Linked DNA regions of Schizosaccharomyces pombe. The gene in region 2 interacts genetically with the main gene of each other region. Each region holds a gene or a part of one and is shown on either strand. Other genes may lie near its edges.

Region 1 (3,756 bases), on a different chromosome or scaffold from region 2:
TCTATTTATGTGCTGATTTTACATTCGTTAAAACATATAATGTAGTTCATGGTCGTGTTATTAATCACTTTAGACAGTTTAGCGAGTTGGCGTCTTTATGAAATCCGCGTCGCCAGATATTAAGCCGTTCTTGGCATCATAATAATGGCTAAACTTTTTTATTAATTACTTTTATTGAAATTTTTTGAATTCAAATGCCAAGGTTCTTTAAAATTTAGAGATTAAGTAGTACATAAAGAAACGCGAACTCTCGATTCATCATGTGGTCAAAGTTATCGATTTCTTCAAAAATTAATCGTATTCGCGACCCTGAAAGCGATAATACGATTGAAGATACTCACGTTGCTCGTGTAATGAGAAAATACTATATGGACAAAATTGGGACATTACCTGAATGGCTTCGTCCTCCTGGATGGCAGCCTCCAGTTAACACAGGACCTACTTCCCCAGTTAGCATAAATGCAAGTAATGCGGCTCCTTCAAATTTAAAAGCTTCATATATTCCGGCCAATCCTAGGAGGCTATCGTCCTCCACTTCCTCTGCTTCGTCTCCCCCTTTACGACGATTACCTTCTGTTCAACATAGTACCTTTGACGATTTGTTTGAAGGTGTCGGAAGTCTTCAAAAATCACCTTCCACCACGAAACCTCTTTCCTCTACACCTTCCGGCTCATTGCTACGGTCAAAATTTGATCACACTAGAAAGAAGTTTTAGTTGACACAACGATACCTTTACTTTACTCTCATTGGTATCTGTTAATGGCGTATTAATGATCAAAACGACTTTTTGTTTCTTTGAAAATGCTGTTACTACGTATGTGTTATTCTCAACCTCGTTTGTTAATAACTAAGCCCATCTTACCCAGAAGTTCGACATTTGTCAGTACAGAGGCATAATTACTTATTTTACAACTTTGAGTTAGCTCACCTTTTCTGGTTTTTCCTTTAGTAATTATTTTTGGAATGACCTGACAATAAGGTGCACTATCCTAAGCAACTCGCCTTTAGTTTGAGAACTATCATTTAGTCTAATTAAATAACCATCACATGTTCTTTATGTTTCTAACCGGATTGTAGCTTTAAAAATTAAACTGTTCAAAAAGCGCTTGGTAGAATTAAAGCTAGTAGCTGAAATCAATTCAACATTATAAAAACTTATCGTTACATACAGCGCATCGTATAGGTTTCTTTAATTTCTAACTCGAACACTTAGGGACGAATTGTGAAAATTCGTTATTGTAATTTAATATGGTATGTAAATAAAAGCACCAATGGATTCGTTCTTGTGATTCTCGTTTATTTGCAAATTTCTGGTTATATTTAGCTCAACGTGACAACAAAATATGTTACGAATGCTTTGTAAGTAAAAATGATCTTCACGAATGTATTTTCTCATTGAACAACGTTTTAAGCAACCAGAAACCGCATCCAAATGCAGACTAGACTTACAAGACGAGAATTTCGATTATCCTAAAAATAAAATTTAATACGCTATAACGCAATTTAACCATTATAATATTAGATATATCGAAGTTTCATTTCCTTTCAACTTACTTGTTCGCAAGTATACGTATTATCTTAGATCATTTAAGCCATCCCAACCCTTACTCGCTAAGTGTTCCACTTTATCCAAATTTGAAGGTCAACAAGTTCTGAACATCAACTTTTAGCAAATTTAAAAAAAAGGTTTAATTGAGCTAAAACTTTTCATCACAGTTTCCTTGTTAATACTTGAAAACAAGATCCTGAAAGCAATTACAATGCTGCATTCGTTTATGAAGTAGAGATGCGAAATTCGTCAAAGGGACAGGACCCTAATTTTTCTTATGACTCTATTCTGTCTACTCCAACTCCATCAGCCAGAAGAACTATTGGGCCAAGGGCTCCTAAGTCCAAAACAACGTACCATAAACCTCCATCATCCATAGAATCAGTATCGACGTTAATCCAGCCTAATAAGTCCCAATCAGTTACTTCTCCGTATGTAAAGCAATTTACCTTTTCATCGAAAGAGTACAATTCTCATAATAAACATGCTTTGCAAAATTCCCAGCTTCCTTTACCTAAAACACCCGAGAAATCTACTGTCCATCGACCCAAAGCGAATAAAGTTGAAGTCACTGATCTACCATCTTCGTCTTCCGTTGAACATTTGCACACTTCTAAACATCTCAAGGGTCCTAGGTTGCCCAAAAACATTATTAAAAGTTCTGAGGATGTCCAAATTGCTCCAGTGACACCCCCTGTACATTCTCGCTCTTTTGATCCTTTGCCGAAACCTCCTGTTCCCTCAGTTCCAGTATCTAAGACAAAAAGGCGAACTAAGCATAAACTTGCTCCTGTTGTTGAAGTCCCTGAGATTACCAACGAGGTTTCCCCAAAATTCACTTCTACTAATGATGAACAAGTTTATCGACTACGTTCAATTCGAGCTGGGAGCCCTAATTCGGTATGCTCGTTTCAGTTTGAAATTCCGAGTACTCGACCACCTTCATTGGATCAGCTAATACATCTATTCAACGATTTTTTAAGACACCCTGTATTTGATTTTGACGAAAACGCCATTGAAATGCTTCAAAGTTGTACTCCAGATGAAAAGTGGTGTTTTATTCGTTCTAACTTCGCCGGGTTTGATGATCCTTCTTTCCAAATTCCAGAATTAGCTGCCGTCCATAGACCTGTTTCCTGGTTCGTAATCCAACTATGGAATAAAACAATTAGTAATTTACAACTTATCACACTTTCTTCTTTATTATCAACTCAATCCGATCGATGGATATCTCTTTTTCTTGAACTGCAGGGACTTCGAGCTTTGCATAATCTACTTACATATTTTAATTCGTCTGCCGTAGTGCAGCCTCAGCAAGCTGAAGTTCCTCGTTGCATGCTTACTCTTTTGAAGAAAAAACCTACTCTGGTTACTTCCAATTCTTATATATTTCAAGCAATAACAGTGACCCTTATATCCCCAAATTTGCTTCCGAGGAAAGTAGCCGCAGATTTATTGACATGGGTTCTGTCTTTAAAGGAACCTCTTGTGGTCTCCATATTGGAAACTGGATTTAAAGAAATAAATGCCGAATATGAAAAGGAGGTTCCGCTATTCTTTGGATGGATAAAATCTTTCAAAGACATAATCTTGGAAAAAGAATTAGCACGAACCCCTCCATCTTCTCCTGCTCGAAATTCTGCTTCCAGCTCACCTTCAAACATAGCGTTTCTTGAGTATTGTACTTCCACTATGGAATTTATCAATCAGCTAATTGTTGCTTGCGAAGAATTGGAGCAAGGATTTGACCTTGATATATTGGATTCCCTTCGTGAATCAGGTATACACGAAGTTATACAACTTCTACGTAACTTTCCTGACCAACAACTTGAGAAACAACTAAACATATATGAATCAGAAGAAGAGAGGAGGACTATAAGTCAGACCACGCATGAAGATGTCGATTCCTTTATGTCAAATGAATCCTCAATTTTAAGTAGCTTCAATGAATTTGCATCAAATGAAGTTGGCCGTTTACTTGAATCAACTATTCAAAACATACTACTTGCCAAAGGTACTGAAAAGCAAAAGGTGAAACTTATCAAGGTTTTTAACTCTTTACTTCAAAGAATACTGCTCAATTCAAAAGTATCCAATGAAAGTTTTGAAGATAGTTTACAGGCATCTTTAAATATGCTAACCGAAAGATTCTATTCGGATGACACAGCCAGAAATGCTTTGAAGGAAGCAAAGGCGTCACGTGCAA
Region 2 (3,756 bases):
CAAGAGAAGTAACAGGACGTGGTGATTGATTTTCAGTACCATTCGGGACTTCGTAAGACGTACTCTTATCCTGACTTGGAAGATCAAGGCGATTCAAATCAAAGGAATGTGCACGACTTAAAAGTTCGCTATCTCTGGCTACAGGCGTAGACTGCCTAAGTTCATCAATGCTGGCGGATATCTCGGCACTAGGGTCGTAAAAACCTACTGTACCAGTTTCCGAATAATTCCATCCTTCGACGTTATGGGACTCAGAACTGACTAAACTTTGGCTAGACTTGTTTGGCTCATTTTCACAATAATTACTATAAGTACGCTTCGTTCCTGGTACGGGTTGCATTGATGGGTGACGTAAATCTTCAGAGCTTAAAATAGCACTCAAATTGTCAATGGTAGAACTGCTTTTTATACGACCACGTTGACTAGATATACTATATCCCACGGAAGCAGAAGTTAGATTGTATCTGGGGACTTCATGATACGTTACAGATCCATGACCATAGGCGGCCTGAGATTTCGGAATTGAAGTGGCACTAATATCCTCATCCATATTTTCCTGTTGTAAAGAATCATTGATAATAGTAGAAATCTCAGGTTCTGAATTACGGGAAGATTGAAGGTATAACTCATCATAGTCTTTACCGTTGGTGGGAAGGGAAAGCTCAGAGAAATCATAAACTTTCCTAAGTGTACTAGCATAGGAAGATCCACTGGAAATCCGTTTTGCTTCCATCTTGGCCAAAACCTTTTTACGAAGACTTTCTGTAGAGATATCTGAGTCGTCTAAGGTGGCCTCTGGGACTGAAGAAAAAGGCTCTGAAGTATCTTCAACAGGGGCTTCCTGAATGGGAGCTAAAGGTTCTAAAGGTTTATAATCCATATCGAGAGACGCCGTCGTTTCGACCCTTTCCAACGCTGGATTGTCCTCTGTGGTATCTTTGGGAAGACTAGGAAGAATCCTTGGACCTACAGTAGAAGATGCAGATAGATGTGCTGGAGGTACGGGCTTGACATCAGATGGTATGCGAGCCAAGTTGGGAACGCTTCCAGCTCTTGCTCGGGCTGGGTTTGTAGACAGTTCATTATGGGATTGATATGGATGTTGAACAGTGTATTCCAACGGAGACATTGTCTTAGCTCGACTAAATTCTGCTACTTCTACCGCCCTCTTGCGAGACGATTTGGAGCGGTCAAAGGATAATTCAGCTAAATTTTGATCCGGATTAAATGTTTCATAATCTGCAACAATATCAGCACCTTTCAAAGACGCAGTAGAAGAACTTGTCGAGTTCATAGTTCCTGCCGAGTACGTCAAACTAGGAATGCGACCTTCTTCCTCGGAATTAATCCTCTTAAACACTGATGTACTACTCATTCTTTTACGATTATCAGGACTATGTTGAGAAGAAAAAGATGAATCGAGGTGCCCATAGCCATGCATATACATGCTTCTTAAATCAAGTGACTCTAAAAGATCTGTCGCAACGTTTAGTTCCGAAAGGTTTCCAAGGGACATATCGCCATCTCCATGTGTAAAGTTTTTTGTTTGATCATATCCCGAGGTTTCATTACTGTTACCCTCAAAAAAAAGGGGTGTTTTTTCTCGATTTGGAGAAGAAAGAAAACTGTTTTCTAAGCCTTTAGAGTCAAGAGACACATCTTTTGCTTCTCTATATGAGAACTCTTGCTCTTTCATCGTCAGGATAGCTTAATTAGACTTTACAGACTATAATACCTTATCGAGTGTTAAAATGTGGACACAGTATCATATAAGCACCCTGAAGTACAACAAAAGACGAGCCTTCTTCTTTATAGCAAATATTAATTCAAATTCTATTAAAATTGATGCTAAAAGCACGAAAACCTCTTATAATTTATTGAAATCCTTCTTCACCTCAGTCATGTGGAGTAGGCATAGGTCACACAAAATCGGTAGACGCTATGATAAGTGGTAGTCCCAGTGAGAACACTGATTATATGGTTAAACAATTCAAACTCTGGATATACCATAAATCGAAGATTAAAGCCAAGTTTCCTTTTTAAAATTAACAAAAAAAGGCTAGTTGCATTGCAAATATGAATTATAGCTGGGACATACTTGCAAAGATAATATTGTATTATCAGTATGCTTATGAATAGCGATGAATAAAGTCATTAGTATGTAAAATAAAATAAGTAAAATCATATTTTGTTGTCTGCTATTTTCGCAGAAACTAAAAAAAAATACATAAAATGAATCTGTTGATAAACAGCTTTTAATTTACAAATACACGAGCAGTTAAAACCTAAAACTAACTATCGGGGCGTAACATTTACTTAAAGCTAAAACCCATACTTTTGAGAAGATGCCTTTTTGTTTGATCGTTGCTGCTCAAAATAAGCTTCAAAGTTGTCTTTTTGACTGATAGCCATTTCAACAAGAGAAGACAGTTGATGACGACCAGGTGCAACACTTTTAATAGTAGGGGCGCTTGGCAATGCTTCTTGGGTCGGTTTTGGAAGTTTGTTGATATCAACGTCTATAATTCGTCCCTTCTCTTTTCGGTGGCGTCCAATTTCAATGTAATCTTCATTGATAATGTTTATGTCCTCTGCATTTGAATGTACTGAGTGATTAGCAATAGAAATGAAATCGTTCTCGGGTTGATTCCTCAATTTCGGAGGATTTGCTCTAGCTTTAGGTTTTATCAAAATTGGTTGGTAAGGTTTCTGATCGGAATCTACTAAAGAGGCTTGCTTTGACTCTGATCCTACGATATTAAATAACGAAACGTTACCAGACTTTTCTGAATACGTTGATTTCTTGACAGTTTCGGAGGATCCAGTAGAGGTTAAATCGCTTACAGAGTTATTAGGTAATAAATAGTTTTCATTTAAATCAAGGTCCGATCTTTTAGATGACTTTGGAGCTAATTCAGCTTGATTTTTTGGGGCAGGCAAAAGTTCAAGTAAATCATTAGATTTAAATCGTTCATTAGAGATAACATCAGATTCATTAAAAGTTTTATCATTAAAAGAAGATTTCTGTAAATCAACTTGCCGTTTCAGGCGTTTAGGTGACTTTTTAGTGCTGTCAACCGACAATTTTCTGCGCGCATGCTGAAACAAAGTAGGATCGAAACTTTTAGAAGCTAATGGTGTTTCTTCTTCAATATCGCTTTCGGATTCTGATCGAGGATATGAAACCAGAGACATATTTTATTAACTTTTGATATTAAGTCGTTTAATAATTCTGAGCGAGCGATTTGTACTCGGTAACTATTCTCACTGCGAACAGAATTATTTATGGCAATTAATATACTCGCATCTGCAAGATGATTTACATATTTATTCAAACTTAAATTAATTCTTTAAGTAAGTCTTAAAAAGAAATAATATTTAATTGAATGCTACCGCCCAACGTTGCTAGCTAGCATATGTGGTATTTTATATATTAATCACCCAAAAAGATTCCAAATTACCATTAATTTAATTTACTTTTATAAGCTTCATAAATATGAGAGTTTAAAGCACTGCAATTTTCGTAAACTTAATTTTTAGGATAGGCCAAAACATGGCCAAATCTTGAAGACTGGAAAAAGTACCGACTCGAATACTTTTATCAATCAACTGTTAGTAGTCGTAACCATGGTATCATAAACCGAACATATCTCTTCAAATATATCAATTTATGACAAACCACAATACATATTTAAATAATCATTAACTTGTCCGTATCAACTTTTAAGCCTCATCAAACTGACGATTAGCAAGTTC
Region 3 (3,756 bases), on a different chromosome or scaffold from region 2:
CAAATCGATTTGGTTGAATGTTGCCGATGTGAGATGTAAAATCATTTTCGATAATAAACTCTACTACCTGATTCACAGATGAACTATCCTTCAGCCACAAACTGCGTAAAAAGGCGAACAAAAATTGAGGGTTTGTTCGTTCAATCCTAACGAAGACAAATTTATGTTCTTTGAAATTGGAAAAAAAGTCTGAACACCATTGAAACGCTAATGACTCTTGAACAGGATTCCATGCCAAAGGGAGCTGCAGCGTACCCAAAAGCAAAAGCTCGGCAGAAACTTTCTCATCCAAAAAATTCAAGAACAGTGAAGTTTCGTAGGTGACTACCTCAGATAACAGGCGTAAAAGGATTTGGACAAGTTCAATGCAATTTAAATTACTTTTTTCATATATTTTCGCATAATTAACAAGCTCTTCGCTATAATCCTTTAAGCTATCAACAGAAACTACAGGATTGACATTGAACTCTCTTATATCAAACATCGATGTTGGGGATAGGATAATATGAGAAATGATGGAAAGTTGCGGTAAAGGATTTCTCCAAAGAACCCAGAGAAAGTCCAACGTAAAATTAGTTTGCCTTAACTTGTAAGCATTTGTAAAGATTGTGAAGAACAGTACAAGACTAGGTGTACCCGTTATCATAAATTTAGGATTATCGAACATAGAAAGCATAGCTTCCCAATTTAGGTTTTCAAAAGAGGAAACGATAGCTTTACCCATCAAAACAGTGTCCCAAGCACCATAATCATGTATAGCTACAAGTGAATTTATAAGATAAGCAACATCAGTCTCAGTAGCCGTTCCCGGGGGATATTTTTTAAGAATTGCTTCTTTCATAGACTTAAGTGTAGCTTTGGAAGCTTTCATCGGACCAAACAAAGCTGTAAGAGGGCGTGAATTCGCCAACTTTTTCTCAATTATAGCATCAAACTTTGGAACTTTAATCAAGGGTATTCTGTCATAGTCGGTGGTAAACAAACCTTCCCTGAGCAAATCCAAATCGTTTTTATCAATACTTTGTTGCTGAGTAGGATCGGATAGTTGGTTTAAAAGAGATTGGAATGTGTTTTTAAGCAAAGCAGAAGCTTTCTTTGCTAAAGTAGGTTTAACAGAAGTGGTAAGTCCAATTAAAAGGTTAGTCCTTTCTAACGGGGAGAATTGGAAATGGTCTAAAAATGCCTCTATATCGAAATCTTCAAATACTTCAGAATCAGAACCTGAAATAGCATCACTAAAACGTTTCGCCATGACCCAAGACTTCGTGAGAGATTTTAATTCATCTAGTAGTAATTTATAAGTAGCTAGTCCATCAGAAGATTTACCGGTACCAAAAATACGGTATGAATTTCCTTGAATTAGACGGCGAAGAAAATGGTGGTATACTCTGGGTGCATTTTTGTTGATAAGTTGACGAATCTGTTCAAGTTTCGTATCATATTGGTCTTCCCGTAAGGTCGACAATAAGAAAAGGATTTGTGCTTTAACAATACTTTCAATTTTTGAATCGTTTGGTGGAGGGGTCTTAGAATCTAGTGATATAGGATGCCCAGATTCAGAAGTTGAACTAGATTTCTCTCGTGTCTCCGGCGTTTGTTGTTCTTGGCTCTTCATATTTTTAACGCTTTTCTATTACCATGCCTTTGTGAGGCTATTATTATACTCCTATGCTATTTTCAGCTGATATATTCTTTGAATATTTACAGATGAGATGCAGCAGTATCTGCTAGCAAGTTTGAATGAAAATAGGTGCAGTGGTGTTTTGCAAAAGATATGTCGGTCCTCCTCACTGCCAGGCAGTCTAAGAAAGGATCGAACATTAAATTTAACGAGACTGTATCTTTCGTAAACTTTTTTAACAAAATTTAAGGATAGAGTTAATTTGCAGTTGCTTATTGTGCACTCAGATAGGCAACGGTTGCTAGGGACGGTTGTCACCGCAGTAGTCGCAGTAAACAAACATGTTTACTCTTTTCCTGAAATCGACTACCAGGAATTTACCAACAACAAATCACAAATTTTGCTGCATTTTGTTCTTTCAATAACAAAATGGAGGTTAATGGAGTCTCTCAATCTGAAGCGGCTCCGTACGTTACCAAATCTTCTGTTAAGTTCCGCGATAATTTCTGGGTATGTGTAAATTTGCTGTATTTAGTAAAGCAAAGTTATGTTAACAAAATCGTTGCAGGGATCTGAAGATGCGGGTATGGATGCTCTTATGTCCCGAACAAAATCTTCTCTTTCCGTATTAGAATCAATTGATGAATTTTACGCAAAGCGGTAAGTATGGTTGCCTCGTTTGGAAGTTGCAGCTCTACCTTAAGCGCTACGATGATTCAAGAAATATGTTTTTGGTCGTTTCATTGTCATTTAAGATGTTTTACAGATAATCGTGGATTCTTAAGATAGCTTGTGTAATGAACCGAAGGGTTCGGTATGATTATTGATTAAAGTCTGACTAACTAAATTAGTGCTTCTATTGAGCGTGAGTACGCATCTAAACTGCAAGAGTTAGCTGCCAGCTCAGCAGACATCCCAGAAGTTGGATCAACTTTAAATAATATTTTATCTATGAGAACTGAAACAGGGAGTATGGCCAAAGCGCATGAAGAAGTCTCACAACAGATAAATACCGAATTGCGAAATAAAATTCGCGAGTACATTGATCAGACGGAGCAACAGAAAGTTGTTGCAGCCAATGCCATTGAGGAATTATATCAGAAAAAAACGGCTCTCGAAATAGACTTATCCGAGAAGAAGGATGCCTACGAGTACAGTTGTAACAAGCTGAATAGCTACATGAGACAGACAAAAAAGATGACTGGTCGTGAATTAGACAAATACAATTTAAAAATCCGTCAAGCAGCGCTAGCAGTAAAAAAAATGGATGCGGAATACAGAGAAACAAACGAATTACTTCTTACAGTTACTCGGGAATGGATTGATCGTTGGACAGAGGTCTGTGATGCTTTTCAACATATTGAGGAATATCGTTTAGAGTTTCTCAAAACAAACATGTGGGCCTATGCAAATATAATATCTACTGCTTGTGTAAAAGATGATGAATCTTGTGAAAAGATTCGACTCACACTCGAAAACACTAACATTGATGAAGATATTACTCAAATGATTCAAAACGAAGGTACCGGAACTACAATTCCCCCTTTACCCGAGTTTAATGACTATTTCAAAGAAAACGGATTAAATTATGACATCGACCAGCTCATTTCTAAAGCTCCTTCTTATCCATACTCCTCTTCGCGTCCCTCAGCTTCTGCATCTTTGGCAAGTTCGCCAACACGTAGCGCTTTTCGCCCCAAAACTAGTGAAACAGTTTCATCGGAAGTTGTATCATCACCACCTACTTCACCATTGCATTCACCAGTTAAGCCAGTGTCTAATGAACAAGTTGAACAAGTTACAGAGGTTGAACTTTCTATTCCCGTTCCTTCTATACAAGAAGCTGAATCCCAGAAACCAGTACTTACAGGGAGCTCAATGCGTCGACCTTCTGTAACATCACCAACTTTTGAAGTAGCTGCTCGTCCTTTGACTTCAATGGATGTTAGATCCTCTCATAATGCCGAGACTGAGGTACAGGCTATACCCGCTGCAACAGATATATCACCCGAAGTTAAGGAAGGTAAAAATAGTGAGAATGCTATCACGAAAGATAATGATGATATTATTTTGAGTAGTCAACTTCAACCTACTGCTACCGGAAGTCGGTCATCTAGGTTGTCTTTCTCTCGACA

The links.
Region 1: mutations in mid1 (region 2) and cdc12 impair growth when combined (synthetic growth defect), as found in Schizosaccharomyces pombe (6 studies listed by BioGRID, with this or other methods).
Region 3: mutations in mid1 (region 2) and cdc15 impair growth when combined (synthetic growth defect), as found in Schizosaccharomyces pombe (4 studies listed by BioGRID, with this or other methods).

What each region holds. Positions count from the first base shown.
Region 1 is NC_003424.3:281,689-285,444, forward strand, and holds the start of cdc12 (cytokinetic formin Cdc12), read left to right. Parts: upstream 1-1,655; 5' UTR 1,656-1,787; coding exon 1,788-3,756. Other genes in the region: exocytic docking protein Mso1, read left to right, coding at 261-716. UniProt on the Schizosaccharomyces pombe protein: Plays a role in the cell cycle. Involved in cytokinesis. Component of the cell division ring. In the absence of profilin, caps the barbed end of actin filaments, thus preventing subunit addition and dissociation.
Region 2 is NC_003421.2:1,148,520-1,152,275, forward strand, and holds the start of mid1 (anillin-related medial ring protein Mid1), read right to left. Parts: upstream 1,917-3,756; 5' UTR 1,697-1,916; coding exon 1-1,696. Other genes in the region: protein Cwf20, read right to left, coding at 2,323-3,195; SPOM_SPCC4B3.13 (MatE family transporter), read right to left, coding at 3,724-3,756. UniProt on the Schizosaccharomyces pombe protein: Scaffold protein that anchors the contractile ring (CR) at the cell equator during cytokinesis.
Region 3 is NC_003424.3:1,401,181-1,404,936, reverse strand, and holds the start of cdc15 (F-BAR domain protein Cdc15), read left to right. Parts: upstream 1-2,000; 5' UTR 2,001-2,050; coding exon 2,051-2,131; intron 2,132-2,189; coding exon 2,190-2,281; intron 2,282-2,457; exon of another isoform or gene 2,458-2,472; coding exon 2,473-3,756. Other genes in the region: CCR4-Not complex subunit Not1, read right to left, coding at 1-1,615. UniProt on the Schizosaccharomyces pombe protein: After the onset of mitosis, forms a ring-like structure which colocalizes with the medial actin ring. Appears to mediate cytoskeletal rearrangements required for cytokinesis. Essential for viability.